Linked DNA regions of Alligator mississippiensis. The protein of the gene in region 1 interacts with the protein of each later gene in a biochemical or structural test. Links are inferred from orthologs where the notes say so. Each region holds a gene or a part of one and is shown on either strand. Other genes may lie near its edges.

The links.
Region 2: the proteins of RET (region 1) and GRB10 form a complex in vitro, tested with the Homo sapiens proteins (2 studies listed by BioGRID). The link is inferred for Alligator mississippiensis from reciprocal best matches to the Homo sapiens genes RET and GRB10.

What each region holds. Positions count from the first base shown.
Region 1 is NC_081829.1:34,602,116-34,616,681, reverse strand, and holds the start of RET (proto-oncogene tyrosine-protein kinase receptor Ret), read right to left. Parts: upstream 6,816-14,566; 5' UTR 6,413-6,815; coding exon 6,367-6,412; intron 1-6,366. UniProt on the Homo sapiens protein: Receptor tyrosine-protein kinase involved in numerous cellular mechanisms including cell proliferation, neuronal navigation, cell migration, and cell differentiation in response to glia cell line-derived growth family factors (GDNF, NRTN, ARTN, PSPN and GDF15).
Region 2 is NC_081828.1:91,951,551-91,967,139, reverse strand, and holds the start of GRB10 (growth factor receptor-bound protein 10), read right to left. Parts: upstream 5,793-15,589; 5' UTR 5,637-5,792; intron 3,062-5,636; 5' UTR 3,004-3,061; intron 1-3,003.

The DNA.
Region 1 (14,566 bases):
GACTGGCTAGCTTTCTTGACTAACTCTTGTAAAAAAAAACCCAGCAACTTGGTTTTCATTTAATTCACTTATTCCCTAGGAGTGGGATTTGTCCCTTTTAAAGATATGTGTAATGGCATCAAAAGCAAATAAACAAACAGCCCTGCCTCTCCCCCTCCCATGAGCAAATTAAGAAACATAGTTATATCAGTTACATGCAATATTTAATTCGTTTTCTAAATGCATATGCTTAAAAAGTCATTAGATAACCATTAGGACTAACGCACCCATTTTCTTTGTGCAATCAGCTGATTTAGTTAGCCAGAATCCTAAAATAATTCAGTTGAGAACCAGCATTTTTAGCGCAATTAACTCAGTAAACTTTTTAATTTCCTTTTTGTCTATGACAACTGTTATTTTCCCTTAAAGCTTCTAATTCAGCTGACTATTTTTGTTACATTGCAGATGCACCATTCAGCGCCTCTTGTGAATTAAAAGACTTTTGGCATGCTTATGACTCCATTACAAGATCTACCATAATGAAAGCATTCAAAGGACTGTTTTTAAATTATCTTTGGAAAATCTTCTATCATAGTCCTTTATTCAAAAGGGGAAAAGATTATAAACATGAAAAGTCTTTTGGATCACTCTGCATTTCTCAGGACAAAGTGAACCCATCAACACTGGAAAATGACTTATTAGTTTCACAAAAATCAAGTATTCTGCCTTGTTTGAACACTAGGCAAATAAAGACCTCTCCAAATACTGCAAGACCCCAATGAGCTCAAGGTTCTATTATTCCATAATCAGCAAGTAACTGAGTTTACACTAAATCCGTAACGCAGATAAAGGGATGATTATTATTCTTCCTACTTTAAAGAGCAAGCAAGTAAGAGGCACAGCTGGGTTATGGACCTCAGATCTCTTCCATCTCAGTCCAGCGTAAGAACCACAAGACAGCCTTTCCTCTATTTTAATTGCTCAATTTATTCCTGCAATGCTTTAGATGTTTGCTTTCAAGAGCAGTTTTAAAACCAAGTCAATTGGGGGGAAAAACAGAACACAACAATTACATAATTTGTTTTGAATAATTTGGTAAATTTCTAATGTCAACATGCCGCCCCACCAAGTGAACACCAACAGCTTAGATTCAGAGATTTCCCCACTGTTTATTATGCCTCATTCGTAATATCCAACCACCCCTGGGTTGACTCTAGATTTTGTACATGCTAACAAGATTATGTTACGCAGCTTGATTAGCACAAATGCTTGCAGAAATTAAAAATTTTAAATATAAGCAGTTTAACTCTATTACTCAAAACCAGAATGAAAGGACTCGGGCCAATTACCAGATAGCTTTGCTGTTGGTTCTATCGCTGAAGAATTGAAGGTCAGGGTTTGATTATAGAAAAGCTGTTATTCATACAGTGTGTGCAGACAGACTCTAAGTGAACTTTACACAGAAAGTCTATGCAGGGAACACTGAGCTCCTACATTATTGAATTTTCCGAGCCTGTGATATACTTTTATTTACTGCTTCAGAACTAGGTGAAGCAGAACAAATAAGGAGAAGTAGAGGAAAGTGAATTCCTACTTACAGATTGTTTTCACAGTATAATATATAAGATGATACATTCACATGTAGTATGTACAATAAAGTTCAAACAACATTATTAAGGTTGTGAAATGAAACACTCAATAAATTTATTACCCCACAGCTGTTCAATAGCCTACAAGTCAATCATCTTGCTTTTTCTCAAAACCGCCAAGTCACAATTGTCACTTGTCTCTCTGTTAATCTCAACAGAAGTACCAAAAATTTGAAGTATAGAGAATGAATTAATCTTACTCCTATAGGGAAATCATCCAGAAAAGAAAAAAAGTGATCTGAGACCAAATTCACAATAACCAGAAGTGGACCTATACTTTAAGTAAGAGAGATCCTCAGGCCAAGGCCTTTAATGAACAACACTTTAAAAAGAGAGAAAATATTATTTTGCACTGTAATATTGCACTAATAGAAATTGGAAAAGGACATGCCATTGTCAGCCATTCATTGTGTCCTAATCTAGTATGCAGATATAAGATCAATGCTGTCATATAAACTGGTTGCTCATGTTAATATTATAAGCACTTTTGCCTGGTGATCAAAATCTACTGAATGCTGTGTTTGACATAAAATACTGGCTTATTAATAATTTTCATATTAATTTCCTTCATGGAATTTTTGTGAACCTTACGAAATACTGCCTATTCATAACATCAGCGAAAGGACTACCAACCAGGTTCCAAACAGACCAACTGACAGTACTTGTCAGACAGACCTGAAGACAATATTCCCAGTCATGAGCAAAGGAAAGAGATGATTGTAAGACTGGGTGAACACGAAGACCTCAACTTGCTTCTCCCTTAAACTAATGAGTTTTGCTCTCGATTTATACACCCTGTGATCTGCATCACAGGGCAATGAGCTCTGGGAAACACCCCACAAATGACAGAGAAGTTCTATAATAGCAGAAGGGTCTGCAAAAAAAAACAATATAGGCCTACTGGAGGACAGTCATGTGGCTTCGGAAAACTGTGCACAGAGGGTAGGGAAAGTGATGAGGTAAGCAGGAAACAAGCTGTCCCAAGCTGTATTATTTCTGTCTAATAGGACAAGGACATTTTGAACTCTCCTTTTATTTTCATCTTCCTTTCAGAACAATTAAGATATCTTGAAATCACTCTCTCTTTCTGTCCAAGTTCCATTTCCTCCTGCACCTTGGTCAGGGTTATAATCTAAACAAATTAGAATGGAAATCACATATCGCCCAAATCTCTCACTGCCAAGAAGATAGCAAGAGACAGGCATCCAGCCATATTTATGGCTGTTTTTACTCTGGTCCTTGACCCATTTGATGACCTGCTCCATAGCCTGATCTCATTAACACTTCCTTCTCATTAACATGAAGATATTAATGTACACTGGATACTCTTAGAGGGAATTACGTAGAAATTCTTCTACTGGGAAAATCCATTTTTTCCATCATGAAATACAAATAGCACAAACCAAACCACCTAATCTTTTCTGGGGGAAATAAATATCACTTTTTAGCTATGGGTTTAAGGAAGTCCCTCCTTACTCTATAAATATATTCAGAACAGAACTTATCATAAATTGCAACTCATCAAAATAAAGTACAGACAAGGAATCTACCAATATAAATCTACATTCTAGTACAGGCCTTAGCTGAATATCAAAACTAGTTTAAAAAAATCCTCTGTAGAATTTTATCAGAGTCAACTATAAAATAATGTAGTGGTTTGAATGGCTTGTACACAGCAGCACTTTAGTTACATTTCCATATGCAATATTTTCATGTTGCAGCAATTTTTCCTTCTACTGTTATGAGATATGTTTACAGTGGCAATGCTTGCAAAATTTATTCTGTCTGTTGATAATAGGTATAATGGATGTCCACTTAGAAAGGACTTCCTTCTAGTAATAAAAAAAATACATTCAAGGCTACAAATAATCTAGACTGTTTAACTCCTTTTATGCACAGGTTGTGTCCTTACTTCAATAAAGTCCCATTTTTCCTACACAATCACTTAAAAGGGACTTTGTAGAAACTAGTCAAAATGCCCCAGGCAAAATGACTGTATCCTGGAGTCCATGTACAAACTTATTTAAGCATTACAGCAGCTGTGGATTTATAAATAATTTTTGGAGATACATGCAACGCACCAGAACAAAAATGTGCATTTTTTTCATCTGACATTGATTCATGGAGAAACATCATTCCGGTTTCACTTGTTTCTAGGCTGTTAAAATGTCAGTATTAATGTAGGCATGAGATTCACACATTGCCTATTATTTACTGTGATGCAATAAGCACAAGTTGTCCTGCTTCTCTGTTTCAGAACCACCTCAAAGATCTGACGTGCCACGTTCTTCCACACTTAGCAATGCTAGAGAATCATTTCTAATCCCCCCTGCTAACGGTATACTCACCAGACTGGTTATTCCAAGTCGCTTGGTAAAATACATTCTTACCCAAGTTAGAGAAATATTGGCGTAAACAATTCAGCTGTGTACCCGTTTTCAGAAAGTCTACAAATTTCAGCTTTCAAGCATCCACAACCATGGATAAAATTCAAAGATGAATTAACAGGATCCGAGCATAAGCATATTTCTTTGCACTATCCTTCAGTGGGCGATTATGTACAACTGAAGTTACAGCATAGATGATAGGAGCTTGAATTGTTTCATATGCTATAGTACAAATATATTTACTGTGGAAGGCTCCTTGCGTTTTCTTTTCAGACAGAAAAATTTATAACTGAATCTCCTTCATGGCACAGGTCAAATATATACAGCATCACAACAGGGAAATTTCAGCTTCTAAATTGACTGAGGCTCCATGTGTATGGGGAATTTGTTAAAACACCCAAGACATAACACTCCTGCTTACCCCTGTTATCAATTCAGTTCATATTGACATAAATAGGAGTTGGTGCCACACTTCTAAACAAGGTGAAATACTGCTGCTCTCCAGCAACAGACACCAATATGACACTACTAATATGCTAGACTTCTTGAATTAACAATGAATATGATTACCCCAAGTTGCATTAGCAATTTTTCTGAACGACTATCTTCAACTTACGTCATTCAGCCAAACCTTTCAGTGATACTTATGAAGGAACAAACATTCAACACCGCCAGTCAGAACTGAGGGTCTAAACAAAATTAATATTTATATTAAGGAAAAGCTTAACCAGTAGGTGCTATCAAGCCATCCATTTAATTAGAACAACCTAATGTAAAGACTCCTATAACTTACTTCCATGTTATACATTTATTGTTTATGAAATTGCTTCAAAACAAATGTAGAAGACATGCAACTGATCAGTTGGATGATGCTGAAAAAATAAAGTAGTTTTAAAATACATGTTTAGGGAAAAACAGGTAGGAAAAACATAAACACAAGAGCAGAATAACACAAAGGTATAAAACTACAAGTCAAATTGAATAGCAATCAGACATAGAGGGAAATAGAACAAAGAGAAAGGTATATAAGGGGGGAGGGGAAGGGAATCTCAGGAGTATCTTCAGCTGTATCTACTACCTATCTATCATCATATTCCAATGCACCACCACATTAATGACAAGTTTATTCAGTGGGGCTAATTGGAAACCATTTTCAAGTGAATATCTGAAATGCATAACCTATGCCCCATTAATGTTCATCAAGGCAAAGAAGATGCACAACTTGGACTATTATGAACTTTGCCAAAAATGTCAAAAAAATTATTAGCCCAAAATAAAACGGTAAAACACAAAATAGAAATCACAGACTGTATGCATACACCACCACTATGGCTTAATCTTCTTTACAATAAAATGATTGTATGATATACGCTATTCCAGTTAACTTTTTAAATGAGTGTTTGGACTTAAGAAATATATTTCTTATCTACATTTTCTCAGAGATTTTTAAGATACCTGTGAAACCACAAGGAAATCTGAATATAGTTGGTAGGGAGTCACCTAAAAGGTTCTTCAAATTAAGAGAAAAAAATAAAGCAAGAATATGAAGACTTTGAAGTCTGTTTTGATTTCTGATCACTTAAGCTACTATGAATCTATTAATCGTAACTATTAAAAAGAGCCTAGGTGGGATGGGTAGGAATGAAAAGGATGGGTAGGAAAGAACATTATGTACGAATGATAAAAATTGAAGCCACCAAGATACCTCCCTCTATTAAAAAAAAAAAAAAAATCAACTCGTGAACTGTAAATTTTATTTATTTATTTATTGGGGGGGGGGGGGGGGGAGGGTACTGTTTCCTAGTAGGATTATGAGCTTGTGCCCTAGTCTCAGGGAGGACTGAGCCAGTTCTTTACAAAACACAAACTTGGATTTATTCAGGTAAACATCAGACATGCTCTGGCAAACAAGAACATATGGAGGCAAGGAAGATATAATGGATTTGCTGTTTGCCTCTGAAACTTAACAGCTGGGGAAGGCATCCTATTCATAACCCAATAACTTGTCATCTTGCAGTCCTTTTCACCTATCAGCACCATTTCATTTGATGATGCTTCATGCTCTAGGCGCCTGAAGGGAAAGTTATTAATAATATTAATATAAATGATTATAATACTAATAGTACTGCCAGTAACAACAGTAATGCAGAGCGTGAACGTTCATAGTCACTCTAGAGGAGGAGGAAACTCCCGGCTGCCGTCACTTAGTTTTAGAGCTGGGAGATGCGGAGCAAAACCCAAGAGAAGCGAGCGGCAGCGTTTCTCTGCGATTCCTGACCCCGGTGCAAGCTCCCCGGGCCTCGCTAACCCGGCACAAGCTTCCTGGGGAGGATCAGCTCACATCTACTTACCTTCCCAAAGCAGGAGGAAACCCACTGTCCACCCCGGGAAAGGCATCTCTTCCCGTCGTGTAATCCTGTTATTTCTGCCCCCGAGGCCGAGCGGTCCCGGGCAGGCTGCTGCCAAAAGATCTCACCAGGTTGCTCCCAGGGCCGGCGCCAGTGCGCTCAGCAAGGGCTGCCCCATGGGCCGGCGCTGCTCGCGGCTCGGAGGGGACCTGCTCGGGCGGGGCGGGGCGGGGCGGGGCGGGGCGGCGCCTTCCGCGACCAGATGGGAAATCCTGCCGCTGCTGCCGGCGCTGCCTCCCGCGTGGTGCGGGGGGCGGGGGGCTCACATCCAGCCCCGAAGCGCCGCCTCCCGGGGAGCCCGGCCCGGCCCGGCCCGCCGCAGGGGGAAGCTCCCGGGCGGGGCGGCTCCGGCTCCTGTCCCTTGGCGACGGGCGACGCGTCCCGGAGCCTGGGATGCTCGAAACGCTGCCGGCTCCTCGCGCTCCCGCGGCACGGCCGGGCCGGGCCGGACCAGACCTCGCCAGGCTGAGCCGAGCCGAGCCGAGCCGAGCCAGCGCCGGCGGGGAATGGCCGGGCCGCCCCTCGGCCCAGCTTAATGAGCAGCGGCCGCGGGGGAGGAGACGGGGGCGGCCAGCCCTCAACTTCGGAGGCAGAAACCCGGGGCGGCCCCGGCTCCCCGCTCTGCCACCTGCGCAGCCGGGCCCCGCCCCGCCCCGCCCCGCCCGCAAGGACACGGGTCCGGCAGCGCGCCGCGCCGCGCCGTGCCGGGGCAGGTGCGTGTCCCGCGCGCAGCCAGCGGGCGGGGCGGCCTAGTGCTGTGCCGTGTCCGCGGCCGGCAGCGCCACCCCGGACAGGACTCCGCTCGGTCCCTTCCTCCGGGGAAACTTCCCAGGGAGGTGCCGAGCCCGACGCTGCCCCCGCCTGGGCGCAGGGGTGTCCCGGTGCAGCCCGCGGGGTGCGCTCCAGGTCCCCCCGCCCCGCCCCGCCCCGCCCCGAGCTGCGCGAGGCTTAGAAGCGGGCTCAAGCACCAGCTGGGTCCGCAGGCTCCGGCCTCTCCCTGCTGCCCAACATATAGGCACACATCACTCCCACACCTTCCTACACACTCCCAGGCCCTCGCGCACACCCGCACACACACACCCACTGGCCCCTACCCCGTGAGCCCACACACTCCCACACCCCTCCCCTTGCTGCGAGAGCACCTCCGGGTTCATTCTGCCTTTCAGTCAGGGGCTGCATCACTGAAGAAGATCATGCAGCAGTAGTAGATCTTGCTCCGTTTCATTAACAGTGGGGTAGGGCAGAGGGGCTGTAACCCATTTAACCTGGACCTGGACCTTTGCCTAACCAGTGTTTAAATTTCTTCATTTGCCACTCGGTGGTCTTCCCCAATGCCATCAACCCGAGGAATCCTGCCATTGAACCACCACTAAAATTTCAACTTAATACTGCATTTAAAAAGGTCAAAATAAAAAGCAAGAGCACTCACTCCCGCACCTTCAGAACCAACAGTCCCCTGAGGGCCACATGCCTGGTTCCACTCTTCTTAGGAACAAGAAACTACAACAAACGTAGGAAAGGACACCTGGTATACAGTGGCAGAAAGTGCAGAGATGGTAAGAAGGAAAAAAAAGTAAGGGGAACAATCATGGCTGACACAACTATTATCTTTCCTGTGATCTGCCAGGTCATTGTGGCATTGGATAGTTTCAAGTTGCCAGACTGAAATCTTTCATTAGGATTGGTTCATTGTTATGACATATTCACATCTAGAAAACTCTCTTAGATTATTTTAGAGATGCTTACATTGTTTGGGGGTTTTTTTAACTCTCTGCCTCTTAGCCCTGTCCGTATGGACTCTGTGGTACCAGATGTCACAGGAAAAGAGATGCGAGAAATCCCAGCAGGAACAGCAAATGCTATTTTTTCCTGTTAATTTTTTGAGTTTGCAGCCCATGTGACTTCAGGAACATAATCAGAATCTGGGAGAACAGCAATGTGACACAGGCACATCTAAGGATAATAAGGGAGCGGAGAGAGAGCAGCTTCATAAGCGAACAGAGTTTGAAAGGAAAAGGGAAGGCACTCAATGGACAGTAAAATTATATGAACCAACCCTAAACAGCTTTGGTCCTTCAGCAGCTTTACTGATAGGCATACAACCTTTTCAAGAATAGGTGTTTTCAACATACCTGACAAAATGCAGGACACTTGAGAATGGCAGCAGGACATTCATGATGTCTGTATAAAACAAAGGGGGATACAGGTTAAAAAAAAAACAACATAAAAAGAAAAGCATTAAATCAATGCTTTGAGGAGAAACATTTTCTGTTAAGCTGAGATTTACCTTAAAATCATATTTAAAAGCTCACACTGTACACAAATCAATATTGGTGCCATCTAAAATAAGGCAATATCATCTGCATTGTTAAATGTCAATTTCTATCCAGGACACAAAGTGACTTTCTGGATGAAATTCAAGGACTTCAAATCTCTTCTGGCATCTTAGCAACTGCTTATAAAGCTACATATTTGTGCCAGGTCCAAGCTCCATTAAAAATTGCTTGTGGATACCATCAAGTTATTTACAGAACAGGCAGAGTGAAGGTTGCCATAAATGTTTCTTCGGAATTTCTAGACTTTTCAGGAGTCTTTAGTTGTGCATGTTTGCATGGCTGTGCATGAGCAGAATGAGGTCTGTCAGCAGGTATAAAAGGTATGTAGAACAGGCATGATAGTTGCTATCTTAGATGATACAGACACTGAATTAAGGACCACAAAAGCTCCGATAACTTTTAAAGAGCTATACTATATTGTTAAGAGCTGTTAATATCTTTATCCGGTGTGGATCATGCAGGTGTGTAACACACACACATACCCACCAGGAAGTTACAAAGGACAAGATGGGAACATGTAGTACACACTGACTGAGCTGTTGCTGTTGTCACTATTTTCTTTCCCATGATAAAAAGAAATATAGGTAAAAGGCAAATAAACCCTGGTAAAATGCAACAGAAATGGAAAATATTGCTTGTGTTCTCTCCATGGGGGTCAGGGAGCCACTCTCCTAGAAGACTGTCTTGAGTTGACTTCAACTACACATGGTCCCATGCTCCTGTTTTGAGAGTTCTTCACCTTCTATTTTTCCCTGCAACCACACGACCAAACAGAAAGATTGTGGTGCACCCTGGGAAATTTGGATCAGCAGTCACCCATCACGGAGAGGCACCAGAATCATCCCCCAACCCTTGCAGAGTTTGTACTCTAGCAACATTCTCATTCCAGAAACTCCAAAACAGTCCCTGGCTGTTGTCACTATAAAACCAACAGCTGGGGCAAGCAGAGCACATGCACCACCAGCAGCAGCAGCTCAGCCAAGACACTGGAGTTTCCTGTGTAGGTCAGGAGTGCTGCCCCCTGCCCTTCCAGCCCACCCCTCCCAGGTCCTGTGTCTCCCCACGGCCCTCTCCCAGCTCAGAACTGGGTGCCCCCCACCCCCACTCTCCCACAGATTTTGACCCAGGTGGCAACTCTGCCTGTTATACCACTGGTTTGGTTCAGCTGAAGTACAAAGCCTGGGAGCATGAGATACCCAAACTACCCTGTGACACTTTTCCCAAATATAAACATTTCAGTTTGGAATTTTTCACCCCAAACTCAAAATGACAACACTCTCCATCTCTCTCTCTCACCTCCCCACCCCCACACTCCCAACCCTCCTCCTACACCTATTTGGAATCCCACTGAAGTTAGCACAGGTCTATGATAATATGTTCCCTACCAGATCACATTCCTGGTATTAATAACTTCTGTGCAGCAATTCACCTCCACTGTCACATACATAAAATGTTAATACAGTTTGCTTGGTTCTTAACTGAACCTTTTTGAAAATGATGCAAAAATCAGATCTGTTAACTGTGGAAAAATAAAAACAGCTGTCCTTTATTTGCTCCATAAGTACAAGCTCCCTAATAATGTCTCCCATCACTCTCCCAGCAAAAATAATTAGAAAATAAATTGACACTTTCCTGCAGGCTGCTGTGATTGTTAAACTATAGCTTATTACTCATTTATTTCTGCTTTGCTTTGAGTCATTAATTTAGCACTGCAGACTGAATTATTAAATTATTGTATGATTCTTTTCTAAAGGCACCCTGAGATGTTTTGATATGATAATGCCTCTTACAAACTGAAGCTGCTGCAAGTAGTCTCTTAGTTTTTTCTTATGCTATGGCCAGTTAGCAAAAGACAATTACATTCAGAAACTCACCTATCTTGCCATTTGCTTTAAATGAACAGTGACAAAACACTTTTAGTAACCAATATCTGATTCCTGATGAGCTGAACATTGTTTGCTTGTTTGTTTTCATTTAATTACAGCAGACACATCTCTTTGTTTATTGTAGGGTCTTTCTGTGCTGATACCATTTATTTCCTAAATGGTTTAAAAGATAAAGAAAAATGGTTTAAAAGATACAAATATTGTATATAGACCAAGATCTGTTCTTTGATGGAATACTGGTTGCCAAACTTTACAATTGGTCTTACATGTACATCAAGGACTGCACTGAAAATAATCTGCTCCAGGCAGAATTTGCAAACAGAGGCTAATGGAAAAAGAGACAGGTCACATTTTGGTACTAACAGTCTGTGACAGTGTGTTTTTTTTGCAGTGAAGGCAACAAATGCTGTTATCTGTTTCAGCTCAACCCTGTCCCACCATCCTACTCCCCACCACAAAGACCCTTAACTCAGATTTGTGCATATTTTGAACCTTAATGGTCTTGCATGCCAGGGGTATGGATTAAATGTGGTCTTTAACTCACGTCCCTTACAGTGAGCATTTGAATGTAATCTAAGTTATGAAGTTCTCTGACACATTCCCACGGTTCTCTATGTGCTATATTGTGTGTTGTTCTATTCATTTGAGGAGGTTCTACTCATTTGCCTCCGATATGCTAGCTAAGTGCCAGTTTATATTACTTTGCTCAGCATTTAGCTCCCAGTACAGTTGTCATTTCTGCACAACTTAGCTGAGTCAGAAAAGATGTATCCCAGAGACCTTCATCACAACATGTCACCAACTGGTCAGAGCATCACGCCAGGGAGTGAGTGTAGCAAGCCTGAATTTGGAAGATGTAACTCCAAAAAAGCTAGACATAGCATCATAAGGATGATCATCCATCTTTGGGAGAGAATTAAAAATCTCTACAACACTTACTGTTGGACCCCAATTTAAAAGGTTTGATTCATTAACAGTTTTCTAAATCCTACAATGTTTTCTACATTTTGGCAATTTTTGTAACAAAATAAAATGGAAACATTTATTTAGGCATCACTGAAAAATATTTTCACCTTCTTGTTTTTATTTCCAGCCATAACTATTTGCATCCAAAATCACGGTTAAGTTTCTCTGTAACTGCATTTATTTTTTCTGAATAAACCATTCACCCACTCTAGAGGTTGAATTGCATTGATTTTGGTGGTTTACAGACTTCTTCTACAAATCCTTGGTTTTGGATGGGGGGGGTTAATTTCTGGAATATTAATTACAGTATTTTATAGTGACCTGAAGAAAAATGCTCTGCACTCAAAAGCTTGTCTAAATCTATCCCAACTGCTATGTTGCTCCAATAAAAGATATTACGTACAAAAAACTGGCCTCTCACATAACTGTATTGTAGAAGTTCTTTACTGTATCAGTATGATCAGTATGCAAATGCTTCAAAAGCAATAAAAGAACAGTTTTCCTCCAACATCAATGGATTACTCAGTCACATACAAATAGTAAAATTATTAGTGAGTTATATGGTATATTAGTGCATATGCCAACATCAGTTTTCCCCTGCCACAAAGCATATGGGTTCACAAAGCACCCTTAACTTCTGATGAGATGCACATTCTAGAGTTTTTTTTCTGATGACAGTACTCCTGGCAAACATTACATAGTGTGCAACACATCCCAACACCACCAGTAACATTGGCATGCTGGTACTCAGGTTTGCAGTTGGCATTGATTCACCTATAATCATAGAAAATTAGGGTTGGAAGGAACATCAAGAGGTCATCTAATAAAACCCTCTACTCAAAGCAGGACCATCCCCATCTAGATCATCCCAGCCAAAGCTTTGTTTAGCCAGGTCTTGAAAACCTCCAAGGATAGAGATTCCACAACTTCTCTGGGTAGTGTTTTACATCCCCCTTGTGAAAAAGTTATTTCCTAATATCCAACATAAACTTCCCTTCCTGCAACTTGAGATCTTTGCTTTTTGTTCAATTGGGAGCCGGCCATCTCCCTGGCAATTGGGAGCCTGGCCATCCAGACACCCCAGAAATAGAGGGGGATAAGAGCAGCTAGGACCAGCTGAGGAGGAGGTTCTCCTGAGGTAGTGAAGGGCCAGCGGTGCTACCAGGGGCACATGCAGACAACGTGGTCCACGGATGGGGCTTCCCTCACACCTTGCTCTGGGACTAGCCCACACCCAGGTGAGGGTGACTGATAATGTTCAAGAAATCAGAACAGATTTAAGAGAGGTTCCCAAGCTACAGTGTGGGCAGCTGAGGCACCAGTATTGCAGAGTGGAGGATAGACTTTGGAGACCCCAGAGGACCAGCATGAGGATAAGTGAAGCTCTTTTTATTTTATTATTGTTACTTTTGGATTTTCTAGTTACAGACCTGAGGCTGGGAGCCCAGGGCTTGGGAAGAATCCTGTAGCCTGGCGGGGCAAGCCACAGGCCAGCTGCCTGGGGAGGCAAGGGTCCTGGTCAGTGAATTGTCAGCCAACCCACCACAGCTCGAGTAAAAGGGGTGGGGTGTGGCAGTACACCTGGCCCAGCACACAGAGCAGCACCCCTCAAGTCACAGCTGCTCGCCTGATTCATAGTGAAGTTGATACAGTAACATATTCCCTGAGATATCAAGAATACAAACTTGCCATCAGGGGCCCCACTGCAGCTTAGGAACCTCCCTTAAATCTGTTCTTATGTCTTGAACATTACGGCTAGGTACAGACAGTCAAAAAGCCCAAAGCTAAATCGAATCAGTTTTTGCAGGTTAGTCTAAGATTCACAGATTAAATTGAAACAGAAGTGAACAGACATTTATTTACCTTTGATTCAGGGAATGCAGCCACCTGCCTGCAGTGGCTCAGGCCAGAAGCTGGGGGGGGGGCGGGGTGCTAGAGCACAGCTGCTGGTTATATGTTCACTTCCTCTTCCTGCTGCCCCCAAGGTCTCTAGGATTTGCAGTCCAGAATTATAGCAGCAGAACTCTGTAGGGTTTCTCATCACTTCTTCCTCCTTCCAGGTGCCTCTGAAATTTGTAGTACACAGTTACAACCAACAGTAAATTTGAGCAGGGGAAGAGGTGTTTAGCCTCCCTCCCTGGTCCCAGTTGAGGTTTGCCTGTGGGGACAGGGTGGGTGGGGGGAGGCAGTCGCTCCCTTACAGACTGGGCTGCACCCCCAGCCGGACTTGCCCCCCCACCCCTTTGGTCAGCTAGCCCTCACTGCTCCAGCTAGGGAGCTGAGGGGTGGGGCCAACCCTGCTCTCTGGAGCAGACAGCCCAGTCCAGGGCTGAAAAGCATGCTGGGATGCTGGGGGACTATGATTTAACTTGAACCAGGAAAGGGTTTGGGACAGAAGTTTCATAAACCCATTTGACCCATTTGACCCAAAGTCTGATACTACATTCAAATTTTATCTTTAACTAGTTTCAGCCATTTTTAAACTGATTTATGTGCATGGAACTTCTGTTCTGTTACAAGTTTAAACCAGTTTCTGATCACTTAAACCAGTTTATGTGTAACTTCTGTCCCTAGTCTATCAGTGTCCACTACCAATGGATGAAGAACAACAATAACCTCAAATTTCTACCACCAAAATACCAATAGTTGACTAGATAGCATAAAGCTGGTAGTTTATAGCGAACAGTTTCCAAATGGTAGCAGCAATCTGACTCTGAGCTGATATGGTTTTAGAGACTTGTGTGCCCTGAGCTTCAAGGTTCAGTGCAAGCTTTTCATACAGCACCATGAAGGTAGCCCCTCATTCAAAATATGTGGAGCAACCATTATTCATTCCAAATCTGCCCGATAATGCAGTCCTACTACTCTATGTCTGCCTGCAGTCATGCTGTTTCATTAACTGCACAAAGAAAACCTATGAAATCACAGACAACATGCTTTTGTTGCAGCCTTGGC
Region 2 (15,589 bases), on another chromosome or scaffold:
GGTCCCAGTGAGGAAGTATGCTTGTCTTGCATGGTGTGTAGTTAGAGACAGAGAAAGTCATGGGTTCAGGTCCTTGTCCCAAATGCTACTTATGCATTTTCTCCAACAATTTCTGAAAAAAGCAATGCATATGCAGTCCTTGAAACAGAACCCAAGCCTCTGTCCTTTCAGGGATGGCTATTATCACGGAGTTGGAGGCATTCTTGCCTACCCTGTAGCCCAGCTTCCAACAGGACTTGAAGTGCTTAAAGCACTCCACTAGTAAAAACCAGGTCAGCTGGTTTTTCATTAGTCCACAGATGCCATTTTAAACTAAAACACAGCTTTCCATTTGCTCCCTACAAATGAAGGGAACACAGCTTTCCACATAGGGAAGTTCATTTGATAAATAAGCACCTGGTTATGTAACTGTCAGACTACAAGCTGCCTAATCTACAGAGGTGAGCTTCACCATTGTTGCATACCACCCTGACCCACTCAGCGATTCAGGATCTGGCAACTTTTCTAGATTGGATGAATTCTTTTGGCCTTACAAGGGTTTGAGGAATCTCTTTCGTTTCACCTTGTCAATACCAGGGTATATTTTCTGCTATCAGCATACAAGTTTCTCCATCTGGTGCAGTCAGTCAGAAAAACCAGGAGACCCATGTTGGGGACAAGCTATATTTGAGGCCAGCATTTGGGGGTGTCACTGCCATATTGCTGGCTTCTGGTGATTCACCAGGTCCAAGACCTTGTGTTTGGGAGGCTGGCAGTCCTGTACACTTCAGCAAGGTTTTGGGGTTCTTGTCATCCATGAGTCTTCGTGGTCAAATAAGGATCAATGGTCTCTCCTGTCACTGAGAAGCTGGAGGATCTCCAATCAATGTCTTAATTAGACTGTCTGCCTGAGCGTCGGTTGGGTTGTGCTGTCTTCAGTCTTGATACACAGCCTAAGGCAGATATGGACAATTATTTGGGCCCAAGGGCCACATAGGCAGTTTTGATGAGCTGTCCTGGGCTGATGACCGAATTCTTTAGGGACATAATGAAAGGACTTTAATGTCCTCTCCTCCTCCCCCAAGAACTCACCAGAACTCGTTCTGGGGCTGTCTTCAGGCAGAGAGCAGTGTTCAGGTGTGGGAGAAGCTGGAATCACATGCCCCTGCCCTCTGGGTGGGGAGGTGTACGTGCATGCGTGAGTGCGGAGGGGGGGCTGCCTGGACACTAGGTCCCACGAGTCTGCTGTGGGTGAAGGGGTGGGGTGGGGTGGGGGGGCCTCGTACAGCAGAGCTTGCCCAGGCAGTGCACTCCGCACTGCCCCCACAGTGCTCTGCATGGGGCTGAGCTCCGCTCGCTCACACTGGGGCAGCCTGCACCACACTCCCACCAGTGCCCACAGCCCAGCCAAGTGCTGCTCTGTGCCCCCTGCCTCCAGTGGCAACTCCTGCTCCTGGTCTTGCCCCTGCAGCACTGTGCCAAGTCATGTTGCTCCAGGCAAGCAGCTTCAACCAGGATCCTGCCCCTTCAGCCAGCCTCCTGCAAGGTGGCTGGGCACTGGGGCAGTAGCCCAGCTGAAGCTGCTCACCTGCCCGCCTGCCTACCCAGAACAGCATGATGTGGTGCAGCACAGCAGGGACAGGAGAAACTTCTGACCGGCTGTTCCTGGTGCAGCTCTGCACCACCCAACTCCAACAGCAGCTCTTTCTCCTACTCCTGCCACACCACTCCTGGCAGGCATGTGGGGCTCCAGATCCCAGATGCCTTCCACCAGAAGGCAGCCATGAGCTGAAGCTGGAGCCCCATGTGGTGGGGCAGGAGCCATCTGGCTGAAACTGCTTGCCCAGAGTGGCGTTGCACAGTACATCACTAAGTAGCACAGCAGGGGCAAGATCAAATCCAGAAGCCACCACTGGAGGCAGAGAGTGCAGAACAGTACTCAGCTACACCAAAAACAGCCCCTCCAGAAGCTCCACGCAGGTTGGGACCTGGCCCAATGGGAGCCCAGTGCAGTGTGCCCTAACGCAACTGGGCAGAGCATGGCCCCATGCAGGGTGACTGGATGCCGTGGGCTGGATCCAGTCACCTGGCAGGCCGGATCTGGCATTCAGGCCATATTTGGCCACCCCTGGGCTAAGGGACCAGATTTAGATTGTGACCAGCTACTTGAATTGAACCAGGAATAGTCTGTCTCAGTGAACAACTGAGCTTTTGGATTTTCACAGACTTGTTGATGAGCATGTTAAAGTCTCTCAGGATGAAACTTTAACTACAACACTGATGGCACTAACCTGTAAAGGAGCATGCAATCTGTTAGACCCGAATCATTTCTGCTCTCATATGAATTAAGCTTGAATTTTCGTGCTCAAGGCACCTCCCTTGCATTGACTGTTTGATGAAAAGATGAAGGCACCGCTGTCTGGCTTCTTATCCTACCTTGTCCTGCAATGAAGTAGTTATCCTGGAGGAACAAGTTGAGCTAGTAGAGAGTTCCCAGTTTCATCCAACAAGGTCTGACAATGCAGACTATGTTAGATGCTTCAGCACTGGTGTGGTCAAAGATTGTCTGCTGGCTGGCCTTGCCTTGTCCCACAAGGATAAGTCATGTCACTTTGTGCGGCCTGCTTCTAGTCGGCATGTAGGCAATAGAATCCAATTTCCTTTGTATACTTTACATTTCCTTAGCAACATTACCTTTACATTTCCTTTCCTCCTGATTTGAACTCTGAGTTAATTGTGTGAGTGAAGGAACAGATGTCCAAATCTACAGAGGCCAGGAGAAAGGCAGATAAATTGGATCTGGTTTGGAGTATGTCGAGGTCTGGGAGCAGGTAGATTTGCAAGCCTAGTGGGATAGAAGCAATGGAAACAGAACAAACACTGAACAACCACCAGCAACAACAACAGGTAGAATGAAGCACGGGCCAATGGCATCAGGCATCCATTTACCTGAAATAATGTTGCCATGACACCCATGTTGCTCTTATCTGGCTCTGGAGAAAGAGAAAGGAAAGCAGCACTTACTTGTCACATCTGAGTTAGAGCCGGAAAGTAGCTTCTGAGCCAGCAACTAGTGGCAAGGCTGAAAGAAAAGAACTGAGACTGATACCTCTGTTATAGGTTTCTTTGGTTGCTTCATTCCTAGAAAGGATGAAACTGATCCAAAAGGGGAGGAGTCACAGCCCCACCCTCACCTGTCACAAAACCTCATTAATGATGTGCAGAGGTGAAAGTGACTAGGAGCTGCTCTCAGACCAATTCCTGGGATGATGCCCACAGGTATAACCAGATATGGGGCATGGGCCTTCAGTTAGCATACATAGAAAAGAAGCTCTTTAGAGAAGACCTTATAATTGAAAGCCATGCATCCTTAGTAATAAACTAAATCAGATAGTCAAAATGGAGGTGCGAAAAGTTCACTACTGCAACACGACCACATCCCATGAGACTACATTCAAACAGTTTTTGTAAGATTTGCTCAGCACGCTTTCAAGCAAACACTTTTAAAGTGAAGAAATCTAGCCTTACTACAGAAGTTTCTCCCCCTAGAGCTCTTACTCTGTCGCACACGTTTTACGTAGGGAACCCAAACAACTAAATTAATCCAGGGTGCTAAAAGGAATGTTCATGTAATGCCTTAAAAACATGTGTGTCATTCTCTTATGGCTGACAATGAGTTTTCTTATTGTACCTCTTTGCTTGGTTCTCAAAGCCAGACTGTGGTATTTAGACATAAGCCAGTGGGGTACACACCAGCTGGCACCAGCCTCCAGTAGGACACTGCTAACTGGGTTTCATCAGAAACACAGGCTAGCACAGTCATATGCCCCCAACCCTCTCACCCCATCCTACAACAGCTCCTGGAAGAAATGGTATTTGACAGTTATACAACTTCTCTGCCACCCGGGACTCCCCAGGCTGGAGGGATCCCATAGCTAGTTGGATCCAGCTACTTTTAGACACTGGGCTGCAATACAGGAAGAAACCCAGTGTCTATAAGAAACTACAATGACATCAGCCAGGTTCTGTGAGCAGAACCAAAAACAGATGCGCTTTGCAATTAGGGAAAGCTTTCTGGACTAGAAGACAAAACACCATTGAAAGAGTGTCACAACTGGATTAGAGGATGAAAGCCAGATACATGGAGCAAGACAGGAGAGAATATTTGGATTATCAAAACCAAGGAAAACCACAGAAGTACCATAAGATCTAACACCCAGCCAGAGCAAACAGAAGCTACCTCTAAGAGCAAATAAGAGTGCAAATGAAGTACAGTACAAAAAAAAGTGTGTGTATGGGAGGGAAAATCACTGAAGGCAGGTGTACAAGTCTGCCTTTCTATCAATTCATAGTTCAGAACAGACACCACCAAGTGTTGCTTTCCAAGCTTTGTTTACCCTACACTGTGCAGCATTTTAAAAAGACAAATCGATATTTTTAGGGTTTTTTTTTAGCAAAGCAAGCTTCAGAATCAAAAGTTCGATGTATTGGTTAGAATAGAAATGCACACCTTGAGACCAAAGGATGAGAAAGAGAAAAATACGCTTCTTAAATAGCTGCATCTCTTCTCATCAGACCTTCTAGGTAAGGAGCACCGTAACTGCAGAACATGCTTAATATCTTTTCTCTTGCCTTTGCAGAGGAGGAGCCAACAGGAGTATCATTTCCACCATTCAGCCTTTGGCATTTGAGGCACACCAGTCAGGTTTTCTAAGCACCGTACACTTTTTTTTTTAAACCCGTCCTCATAACTCACTCCTTTTAATCCTGGGATTAGCCCTGCTGCCCTTCTCTGTACCTTTTCCAGTGCCGTAAATAAGGCAGGTCCATGCATGGAAGAAGAAATTAAGTTAGAGCTTTCGTGGTGGACCAAGGCAGCTTTTTGTAGCCGGAGCAGTTAAATAAAACAGCAACAAAGAATTAAAACATCCACCCCTGTAGGAAGCAGCAACCTTTCCAACCCATCATCCGAATGCAACTGAAGGAAAGAGGGAGAGACGTACCCAAACTTTGCCTTCCGTCCCACCCCTCTCCTTCAAGGAGACAAAACGGGCAGCGAGAAGCCCGCTTAGAGCTGCTCAGTAAGCCTGGACCCATGCTGCTCTGACATGCCAGCGCCATATGCTCCCGGTTCAACAAATCCAAACATTTCTTCCCTTTCCCCCCCTCTTCACGCACAGAGAGCACCGCTTCAGAGCCGCCTGCTGAATCAGCACTTGCCACCCCGCTTTAAATACAGACTTCTGCCCAGCTTCAAAAGAAAAGCGTTGGGAGGCTGGGATGGGTCGGATCCTGCCTCGGGCAGCCTAACTTCGCCGGGTCCCTTCAGCCCCGCTTCTCCAAGGCTCGGGGGGGAGGGGGAGAAAAAAGAAAAGAGGGGGGCGGCAAGGTTAGACAGACGAGCCCTCCCCGCCCGAGCCCGGGGCTGCAGCCCGTTCTCGATGGCAAGCCAGGGAGAGGCCGGGACAGCAGCGCCGAGGGGCAGCCCCAGCGGAGGCGGCTGCGAGCCGCTGTGCCCCCGCGGCGGGGACTGGAGAAGCGGCGGGGCGGGGGCGGGGGCTGGGGCGGCCGCGTCCCGGCGCAGGGGCTGGGGGCCCGCCAAGTTTGCAGCGGGGACGAGGAAGTTGGCGCACCCCGCGGCCACGGCTCAGCCTTACCTGCGCGCCCGGCCCGCCTGGCCGCTCCCCCGCTGCCGCCGCGGCGGGAAGTTGGAGCCCGGGCGGGCGCGGAGCAGCACGAAGGAAACTTGTGCGGCCGCTGCGCACACGAGGCGACGCCGCCGAGCCTGGCCTCTCCCCGCCTCAGCTGACTCCCCGGCTTAGGGTGCATCCCTGCCTCCTCCCACCGCCCGCCCCGGCGCCGCACGCAGCCGCAGCCGCGCCGCCCACGCCCGGCCTCCGCGGGCCGCCTCCGCCCGGGGCTGCCCCTCGCCCGCGGGCCTGTCTGCACCGGACCCCGGCCCGGGGCCGCCGCCAGGAACCATAAAGCCTCCCCGGGCAAGGCGGCGCCTGGGAAACTCCCGGCTCCTTTTCTTGGGACCCGGTCAAAGGCGGGGGAGATCACAGGGTCAGAGTGAGGGAGCCGAGGGGGGACCCCGAGCGCGGCAGCATGGACAGCGCCCCCGGCCGCCAAGGAGCCAGCGGCCCTGCCCAGGGAAATTGCCGAGAAGTGAGCTGGCACCTTTGGGGTTGGGCAGACACATTGGGGGGTGAGCAGGCACGTTACAGGTTGAGGAGACATAGGGGGTGGGCAGACACATTTAGGACTGCGCAGACAAAGGGATGGGCAGACACATTTATGGGGTGAGCAGACACATTTAGGGTTCAGCAGACGGGGTTAGCAGGCACATTTACTGGTGGGCAGACATGGGGTGAGCTGGCACATTACAGGTGGAGCAGACAGAAGTGAGCAGGCACATTTAGGGTTGAGCAGAGAAAGGGTTGGGCAGACACATTTAGGGTTCAGCAGATGTATTTGGAGTGTAAGCAGGCACATTTAGGGTTGAGCAGACACATTTAAAGGCTGAGCAGACATGAGGGTTGGGCAGACACATTTAAGGGTTGAGCAGACAGCGGTGAGTGGGCACATTTAGGGTTGCCAGCTTTCCAGGACTGCCTTGGAGCCTTCAGGAATGAGATGTAAATCTCCAGGAGACTGCTGAGAGTCACCGGGGACATAACTGATAGGATATTAGTTAAAATAATTATTAAAGGTTGAATCCAATTTATGCTGTAGGGTGGTGGGTTTTTAAAATGTAATAGGAACATGCACATGTCTTCCTGCCATAAAGTCTACATGCCCATAACCATAACCCAGAACTGATATATGCTAGCATGTGGGCATGTTGGCATTGTGTGTCGTGGGCACACTGGAGTTCTGGAAACCTCCCAGAATAGATTCAAACAGAGTCAGCAGCCCTGGCAGACAAGGGACAGGAAAGCAGTCCCTGAGAGTATCCCTCAGCCTGTAATGCAGGCCAATACCCACAAGGGAACGCTATAAGCCCCCCTTAAAAAAGGGAGGCCGCTAGGTAGAAAATAACTGATTTCTGGGAACAATTAAAGACAATAGGGCTGGGAGTGAGGTCAGAGGTTTAAAACAAGTGCCCAAAGGGGGCACATGAAGCATAGCACACCGGACAACACCCACTGGCTCTCAGATAAGTCCAAGGAGCTAGCAGACACTGCCCAGTGGTACTCTGCCCAGAGAAAGGATCACACCAGGGACAGGACTTTAACACATCAGGGGATTTCATGGCCCACCAAGGATACTATAAGCTCTCTTTTAGTACTGGGGGCCACTAGTGATGTGTGACTGGTTACTTGGGACAAATCATAATGAAAACAGGGACAGGAGTGGAGGTCAAAGGTTCATAACAAGAGTGCCAAGGGGAGACACCAAGCAAAGCACACTGGACAGCACTCACAGGCCCTCAAATGAGTCCAAGGTGCCAGTGGACACTGCTCAGTGATACTCTGCCTGGAGACAGGATCACATTGGGGATAAGAAAGCAGTCCCACAGTCCTCAGGGTCCTCTTGCCCAGAGCCTCCTTCCTGGTGCAGGCAGAACCCCAGCAGGAGGTTCTGAAGGAGGCCGTGAAGGGGCTTCAGCCTGGTGCACTCCAGGTAGGTGTGCTCCACGGTTTCCCTCTGCTCCACGGTCTCCCTCTGCTCGCAGAAAGGGCAGGTGTCAGGAGCATCCGTAAACCATGCCAGATACATGCCTGTGGCAACAGCTCCGTGTAGGAGCCGCCAGCAGAGGCCCGGAACAGGGGAAAGGCTGGGGCTGCCCTCAAGGCTAGCACCAAGCGTGGTTGTACTGAGAAACCATTCAGGCTATGGGGTATCCAAATGCCTGGGGTTGTTCAGGAAGAAGCAAGGCAGGCTGCAGAAAAAGGGCCTTGCTACATGTTGGACTCTGAGTTACTCAAATGCTGATTGGTTAGTGCTACCTTGAGTTTGGGAGCAATCACACCTTCTAGCTAAAAGCCTCCTCTGATTATTCCCCACCTGCCCAGCTGTGACTTACTGCTGGAGGGCTGGTGAGCAGAGAGCTACAGCTGGGACTTGCTGCTGAGACTTGCAACTTGTCCTGGTGAGCTAGGACACGTTTCTAGCCATGCTCTATATGTGGGGGGATGTGGCTGGGGGGGAGGGAGAAGGAACAGTAGGCTGTTAGCATGGTTGTATCCATGGGGGAGGGCAGGTCATACTCCCCAGGAAGGCAGGAGATGTTAGCTTGGTGCCTGGGCAGTAGAGTTCAGGGGATGGAAAGTTTGTCCACACAGAACAGGAGAGTAAGGAAAGGGACACTGCATCCTGGGGTGCTAGAGGACTGCAACTTGGGCAGTTCACTTGCGGGGCATGGCCACCCATTACTAGTTCATTCAATTTGATTGACATGATGTACCCAGAAATTACACCAAGGAATCTGTACCCTTAAAAACACTCTACCCTGTTGTGGTCTTTCTGAGTTCTTCGCAATAAAAGAATGGCTGTATGTTTCCATAGTCAAAAAGCAAGTGACAGCCGAAATAGCATTTTCTGATGAGTACCTGAAATTTAACATGGGGTGCCTTGGGTCTAAAAAGGTTAAGAACCACTGCTCTAACCTTTAGCAATTGAGATGAGGTAGATAAGTGGTACTCAACCATTTTTAGACTCATGGCACCCCTTGACAGACTCAAGGTCCCCCCTTCTAGGCTCAAGACATCCATCAGAAAATGCGAGCCCTTTGTGTTCACTTGTGTTTGACTATGGAGAAATCCTAGAGAAAATGACAGTGTGTTTCCCTGGGGAGAAGTAGCAGTGGCACACCTTATGCCGCTGCTACTTGTCCCCAGGGAATGCCCATGCCAAGTGTGCTCCGGTGTGTGGCAGGTTACACTGGGTGGGGTAGGGGAGGCTGAGGCCAGCAACTGTGCCTTACCTGGGGTCCTGGGGGCCTCCAGGAGCTGCAGCCACAGTGCTCCTGCAGCAAAGAGCCTGGCCAGCAGCCAGAGCATGGCTCCAGCCAGCCAGGCTCTGGTTTCGGGTGGTGTGCACTGCCATGTGTGCCGCCCCACTTTTTTCTGACATTGGGTTTTTTGATCCGGGAACCCAAGAGTCTCCAGGGGTCAAAAAACCCTCCACGCTGCAAAGTGCAGGGAATGCCTGTATGTGCAGTGTATGGGACAGGTCTGCAGTGTCACTTACCACAAGTCCACACTCATATAGATACGGCCAAAGAGGCCACATCAGGTCAGAATGGTTTTACCACTATGGATTCCTATTTGAATTTCTGGGTTTATCTTGTGAATTGTGTGTGCACACTTAATAGTGCTAACATTGAGTGGCACCCTGCAACACCCTTGAAAGGATCTCAAGGCACCCAGGCTGTCACAGCACCCTGGTGGAGAATCACTGAGCTAGACAGTACAAAAGCAGATATTTTAGGTAGGCAGCATCTAGTTCTGACTGCTGCCAGAGACAGGATTCAGAACCAAGTGAATTCTTGGTCTGATCAAATGCAGCTGTTGGTTTCTTCCTAACAAGGGTGGGGACAGGGTCATAGCATGATATTGGAGAGACCTGGCCAATACAGCTACCACTGGATCCTGATGTTCAGACACCTATTTTTGGCCACTTGTATCCACCTAACTCAAAAGGAGCAGCCAGAACCTTTGGGCACTGGGCTTGGAGCACTACAAAAGGAATGTCCTGTCTCATCCTGTGGGCTGAATCTGCAAGAGGGACATGGCCAGCTGTCTAGTCAGCAGGGAGTTTTTATTTGGGGGGGAGGAGGGGGGCGGCAGGGAGAGGAAGTGCAAAATGCTTGCAGGATGATGCATCTTGGGTGTAGTTTGGACGAATGGCAAAAAAAGACAGGCGTTGCTTGGGAAGCTAGATGCTGGGTAATGAACGGGGATGGTGGCTAGCAATAGGGGACAGGATAGGAAGTTTCATGAGGAAACACTTCACCAGGAAAGGTGATGTTAACATGTTAGAATTGCAGAGATTTTGTACATATTCTACAATCTTTTGGCAAATTCATGTGTGCATAACAAGTAACCGCATGACCTTTTTTTATCCTAGGCTGCCTGTCATATTTTCAATTTTACTCTCACTTATTCTCAATGCTGCCATAACAACGCAGGGAACACTGCCAGTTTGGTCAGGTGTATAACACAATGTGTCTGAACAAATAATAGTAATGGAACAAATAACAGTAATGGAAACTGCAGGACAGGCTTTCTATATTGTAAAGATTATTAGATTTTCATGCACTCCCCAGGATTCCCACGTAAGCACAATACCTCTAACTTTTCCAGAACACAAGGCATCCTGCATTTCACTCCAGATATCTCTGGGGCTGAGTTGTGAGATTCAAGGAAGAATAAGCAACTCATAAATTGCTATGTACTGCATATTACCTTCCAGAGAACCCAAGGCTGTCTTTCTTCAGGAGACTTTTAAAAAAATATGTACCATTTGTTTCAATCGAATGCATTCTAAAGGTGGGCGGGAGGCATTCTCTTAGCCATACATAGAAGAACCCTCTTATAGTAGGATTGGCTCTATCTATAGAGTAGGACAAATTCCGGTGGAATCAGGGAAAGTCCCAGTGCCCTTTGTTAGAAACAACTCAACTGCTATATTCATGTTAACATTGTTCAACTCTTCACTGAACATATTCTAAAAATATAACTCATTCATTCTATATTTCTTTTATTCTTTCTCCCTTTGCTTTTCCTTTAATCCCGCTGTTCTGTACACTGTTGTCTTTGTACTTCATCCCTTCATCACCCCCGTCCTCCTTCTCCCTGGATGTTGTACTTCTCTCTCCTCCTTCTGTGTTCTCATTCCATTCTCTCTGATGAATCTTTCCTTCATGCCCTTCAAAATGTTTTTTCCAGTTTCTCACACACACATCACCTGCTCCAACATGCACAAGTCACTCTTTAGTGAATTCATTGCGCACTTTCCTCAGACAGTCAGCTTCCCAAGTGTGACCCACTCCTACTCTATGCTCAGTCGTGTCCATTTCATTCACTGTTGACCCTCCTCCCTTTTCACAATACTCACCCCGGTCAGTCATTTTTCAACTTCCCAGTTTAAATTGTCACTCATCCACACCATCAGTCAGTCCTCCTGCCTCTTCACCATTCCCAATTGACCTAGGCATTTTACAGTTCTTGAGTGATGCTGTCCTGTCAAGTGGAGGGTAACAGGGACCACTCCCATTAAGATCCCACATCTGGGTGGAAGTTGCATCTTCATGCCAGCCAAGCAGTCAGGGCCCACAGCCCTTCCCTACTTTGAAGAGTAGGGAAACTGGAGGGCCATGGCTCTTTATTGCTACTCTTCTTCATGATTGCTGAGGCTTTTTAATACTTCAGGTCTTCCCTTTGATTGGGCTAGGATCCAGCCCTTTTGACCGAAGTTGAGGGTTCTACTTGGGAGGCCTTACCTTCCACCTAGCAGAGGACAAAGGCCCCTTAGTTGAGCTTGATGGTATAAATAGACACCTTTCCACACATGGTGTCTTCTTCTTCCATTCTGGAAACGAGCCTCTCCTCAGCAGGCCGTGTTCTGGACAGAAAATGTGGCTCAGAGAGCTACTGTAGCAGCAAAGTAGGCCCTCACAGAAGCAGCTGTAGAAGAAAACAGCTGGGAGATAGTGACTACATCCTCCCAGCTGCTTTCTCTTCTCTAGTGAGGGTGTTGAGAACTGAGTTCCTCATCACTGGACACCCTTGCTGCTGAGGCAAGGGTATATGTTACAAGGACAGGCCAAACCTAAGTGGCCAAACATCAAGATCTGCTAGCTGATGTTAAGTGTTGGTCAGACTTCTTCAGTCTGAAGAGTCTGACTCAGGTTACTGAAGAGGAACAAGACTCTAGAGGGGAACAGCAATAACATCCTGCCAGCCCTGCAGGAAATTGGGATCTTTCCCCAGTTGTCAGAAGACAATGGTGATTTCCTGTCTCCCTATGGTGAGGTTGATGTACTGCTTCTTGCTGACACCTGTCTAAAGTTGTCAGCCCGGACCTTCAAGTACAATCTGAGATTGGGCAGTGTCTCCTCTTACCCTCTTCAAGGCTGTGAGTGGAGAGGTAGCTGCTTCAGCTCCTCCTCCTTCTATTGGAGTACATTGTCTCATGGTATCTGATGCTCCTGCCTCATGTTGTCCAATGAACCAGTAGGCCTATGGTTGCTGTTATTTTATCTCATTCCAAGGTTTATGCAATTGCATTTAGTAGTTACATAGATATCTCACCAGTACACCTTAGTGTCACTTAGTAATATGAATAAATACAGACCTGCCAATTCCTGGGTCACATTTCTAGAAATGTGGGAAGAAAGACAATTCACTTCTCTGTTTCTAAGCTCACAAAGTCTGCTCTCAGTTCAGGCAGACCTACATCTGGAATTCCTAGATTCCAAGCTATCTTCCACCTTACTTGTCCGTAATACATTTTACATGGGTGTAGAGCAAAATAATTTGCAGATATGTTAATACTAAAAATAAACAACACTGTTACAAACAGAGTTACATACAATACAGAACTGACAGAGGTAGTCTGTTGTTCTTTAGTTTTTTCTCAGCAGCCATACCTGGCTCTTAATTCACATTTTTCTCCAATCTTCATGCTTTTCATCACACAATGTAACGCTGCTGACCCATCAGTTTATCATACCAAATAGATACCTAAAATTAATTTTTAAATTATCAAAATGTGAAAACATATTATTTTAAAAGATCAACATGTATATGCACTTTTTGTCATTAATGTTACATTTAACAGACAGTAAAATGACTTGTATTAGAGCCAGGTAGTTGATGGATTCCTCTACAACTGTTTATGACACTGATAAACAACGTCCAGTTGAATAGGTATTAATAGGGTGTCTGTACATATTTTTTTTTTATAGAAAATACCATTTTTGCTAGAAGATGATTCAAGTATTCACTTGTACAATATTTATTTGTCTCCGTGTGGCTCTATGGGAAAAAAACAGTGTGCGTAAGGAATATTTCCTGTACATTCTGGCAAGTATAAATACTAGGAAAGACATGTTTAGTTTCCTAGACTACAGCTGTTTTGTTTGAGACCAGACTATACTGTCATAAAACTGTTTATCAAAAATGGCACCATTAAAATGGTTAAATTTAGCAGTAGCTATACATCCCTGTAAGTGCAGTAAAAGGCAGATTTATGATATAGTTAGATCCTTCTCCCTTAACTAACAAATCTCTGGAAAAGCTGCAGTTATACTACATCATGGAAATAATAGCCAGAATGTAAAATAGCCTTCAGGACAACCCCATATTTCCTTGGAAAATAAACGGTAATTTCCTTCAATGAAAACATGCAAGAATTAAGGGTGACAAAAACATTCTGGCAGAGCATAAGCATTATTTCTATTCAAGGCTAATCAAAGACATGGAGATTCCTAAAATATTTCCATACTAATAAATTTGTCAGGAAAATAACGAGAGAGCTTGGATTTAAGGTGCCTGCCAGACATTCAGGTAAAGGCACAATAGGACTTGATGCACGATCTGCACAATTGCATCTCCTGCCATGCCACAGTTTCCGAGCCATACAGAAGCGTTGGAATGACAATGGCTTGATGTCATGATTTAAGAAGACTCTCTTAGATGTCCAAAGGCTGCGCTTGCACATTTCAAGCAGTGTTGTATTTCCATGTAGGATGTCTGCATTTGATGAAAGATGTCTTCCAAGATAGGCAAAGTGATCCATGTTCTCCAGAAATTCTCTGTTGATTTGAATGGAGGTAGGGTTTGAAGAATAACAAGGCAGCTGGTATTGACGGGAATATCTGCAGAGATTTTCAAAGGAGGAGGAGAACAACTTAAGTGTCAGCTTCATGTCCTCATCCTTAAAATCTGGAACAAGGAAGAAATCCCAGCCAACCTAAGGGAAGCCTTGATTGTTACTGTCTTCAAGATGGGGGACAGAGCTGATTGCGGAAACTACTGAGGAATCTCATTGTTGGCCACTGCTAGGAAAGTCATCGCCCATATCCTTGCCAACTGCCCTCTCCCACTTGTGGCAAAAATTCTTCCAGAATCTCAAAGCAGCTTCAGACCATCTCAAGGAACTGTGGACATGATCTTTACAGCACGTCAAATCGAGGAGAAATGTTGTGAGCAAAATCAATCTCTTTATTTGGCCTTCATTGATCTCTCTAAAGCTTTTGATTCTGTAAACTGTGAAGCCCTATGGAAAATCTTGTCCATAATTGGCTGCCCAAACAAGTTCATTGGTGTTCTAAGACTTCTCCATGACAACATGTCAGCAAGGGTTCTCAGCGATGGGAATCAAACAGAACCATTTGAGATATAAACTTGAGTGATGCAAGATTGCATCATCACTCCAACTTTGTTTTCCATCTTGAACTCCACCATAATGCACCTTGTCAACAGCACGCTCCCACCTGGAATTGAAGTTGTGTATAGGATGGACGGAAGGCTCTTCAACCTCAATCTGAAATGGACCTCCAAACCATTCTTAATGTATTCTCGGAAGTCTATGAGAGTATTGGCCTAACTCTAAACATCAGGAAAATGCAAGTCCTTTACCAACCTGCTCCAAAAGGAGAAACAAACCTCCCCTCCAGTCAAATCAATAGAGAATTGCTAGAGAACATGGATCACCCAACCAGATATGCCTTGGCTGTAGTGGTAAGTACTGAGGTACTCTGGATGCTCCTCCAGGGCCCTGGGTAGCCCCTGCTACCACTGCTAGATGGCATCTAGCCCTTGCACTCTAGTCCAATGGTACTCAAACATGTTAGACTCAAAGCATCCCTCAGAAAATGCCAGCTCTTAGCTTTCACTCATTTTTGGATTAAAGAAAAATAATACAGGCAATTCTCTTTTTCCAAAGAACTCAGAAAGACCACCACCAAGCCACTATGTTTTTTGACACTATGGGTTCCTGTGTAAAATCTCTGGACTAATCTTGTAAACCATGCATTAGTGTTTGCACACCTAACACTCCTAATATTCCATGGCACCCTCACAAGGCACTCAGGGCACCCCCAAGTGCTGTGGCACCATGGTTGAGAATCACTACTCTAACTGTAGAGGGATCCACACTGAACTGGGTTTATATTTGCCTGAAACTGGCCTTGGTCAGAAGGGACAATTATTTTAGCAGTGATTTGAATTATGTCATTGTGGCAAGAAATGAAATATCTGGGGGCTGATTCTGCAGTCCGGAATCTGGAAAAGCTTTGAAACAAGAATTTTCCCTAAAGCCTGTGTACCAGGTCTTAAAAAACAGGATTTAAATGGTAAGCATGTGCCAATGGGGCCTAATTAAGTCTAATTCATTCTTGATGCTTAAAAATGAAAGCACAAGGGCTCAAATTCACCCATCACAGTGAACTCTCAGTTTGGTATATGTGCTTAGAAACATAACAAAGTCTCTGTTCATCACTGAGGTATAACTATGTGACACTTCAAGTTTTGAATTCAGCCATTCTGGAGTTGTGCCTAAGAAAAAGTCAAAACTTTTAAAAAGAGAAAAAATGTTTTTCTTTACTCACCTAATTCAAAACAGATGTTTTCCTCAAACTTTTCCGAGAAATTCATAT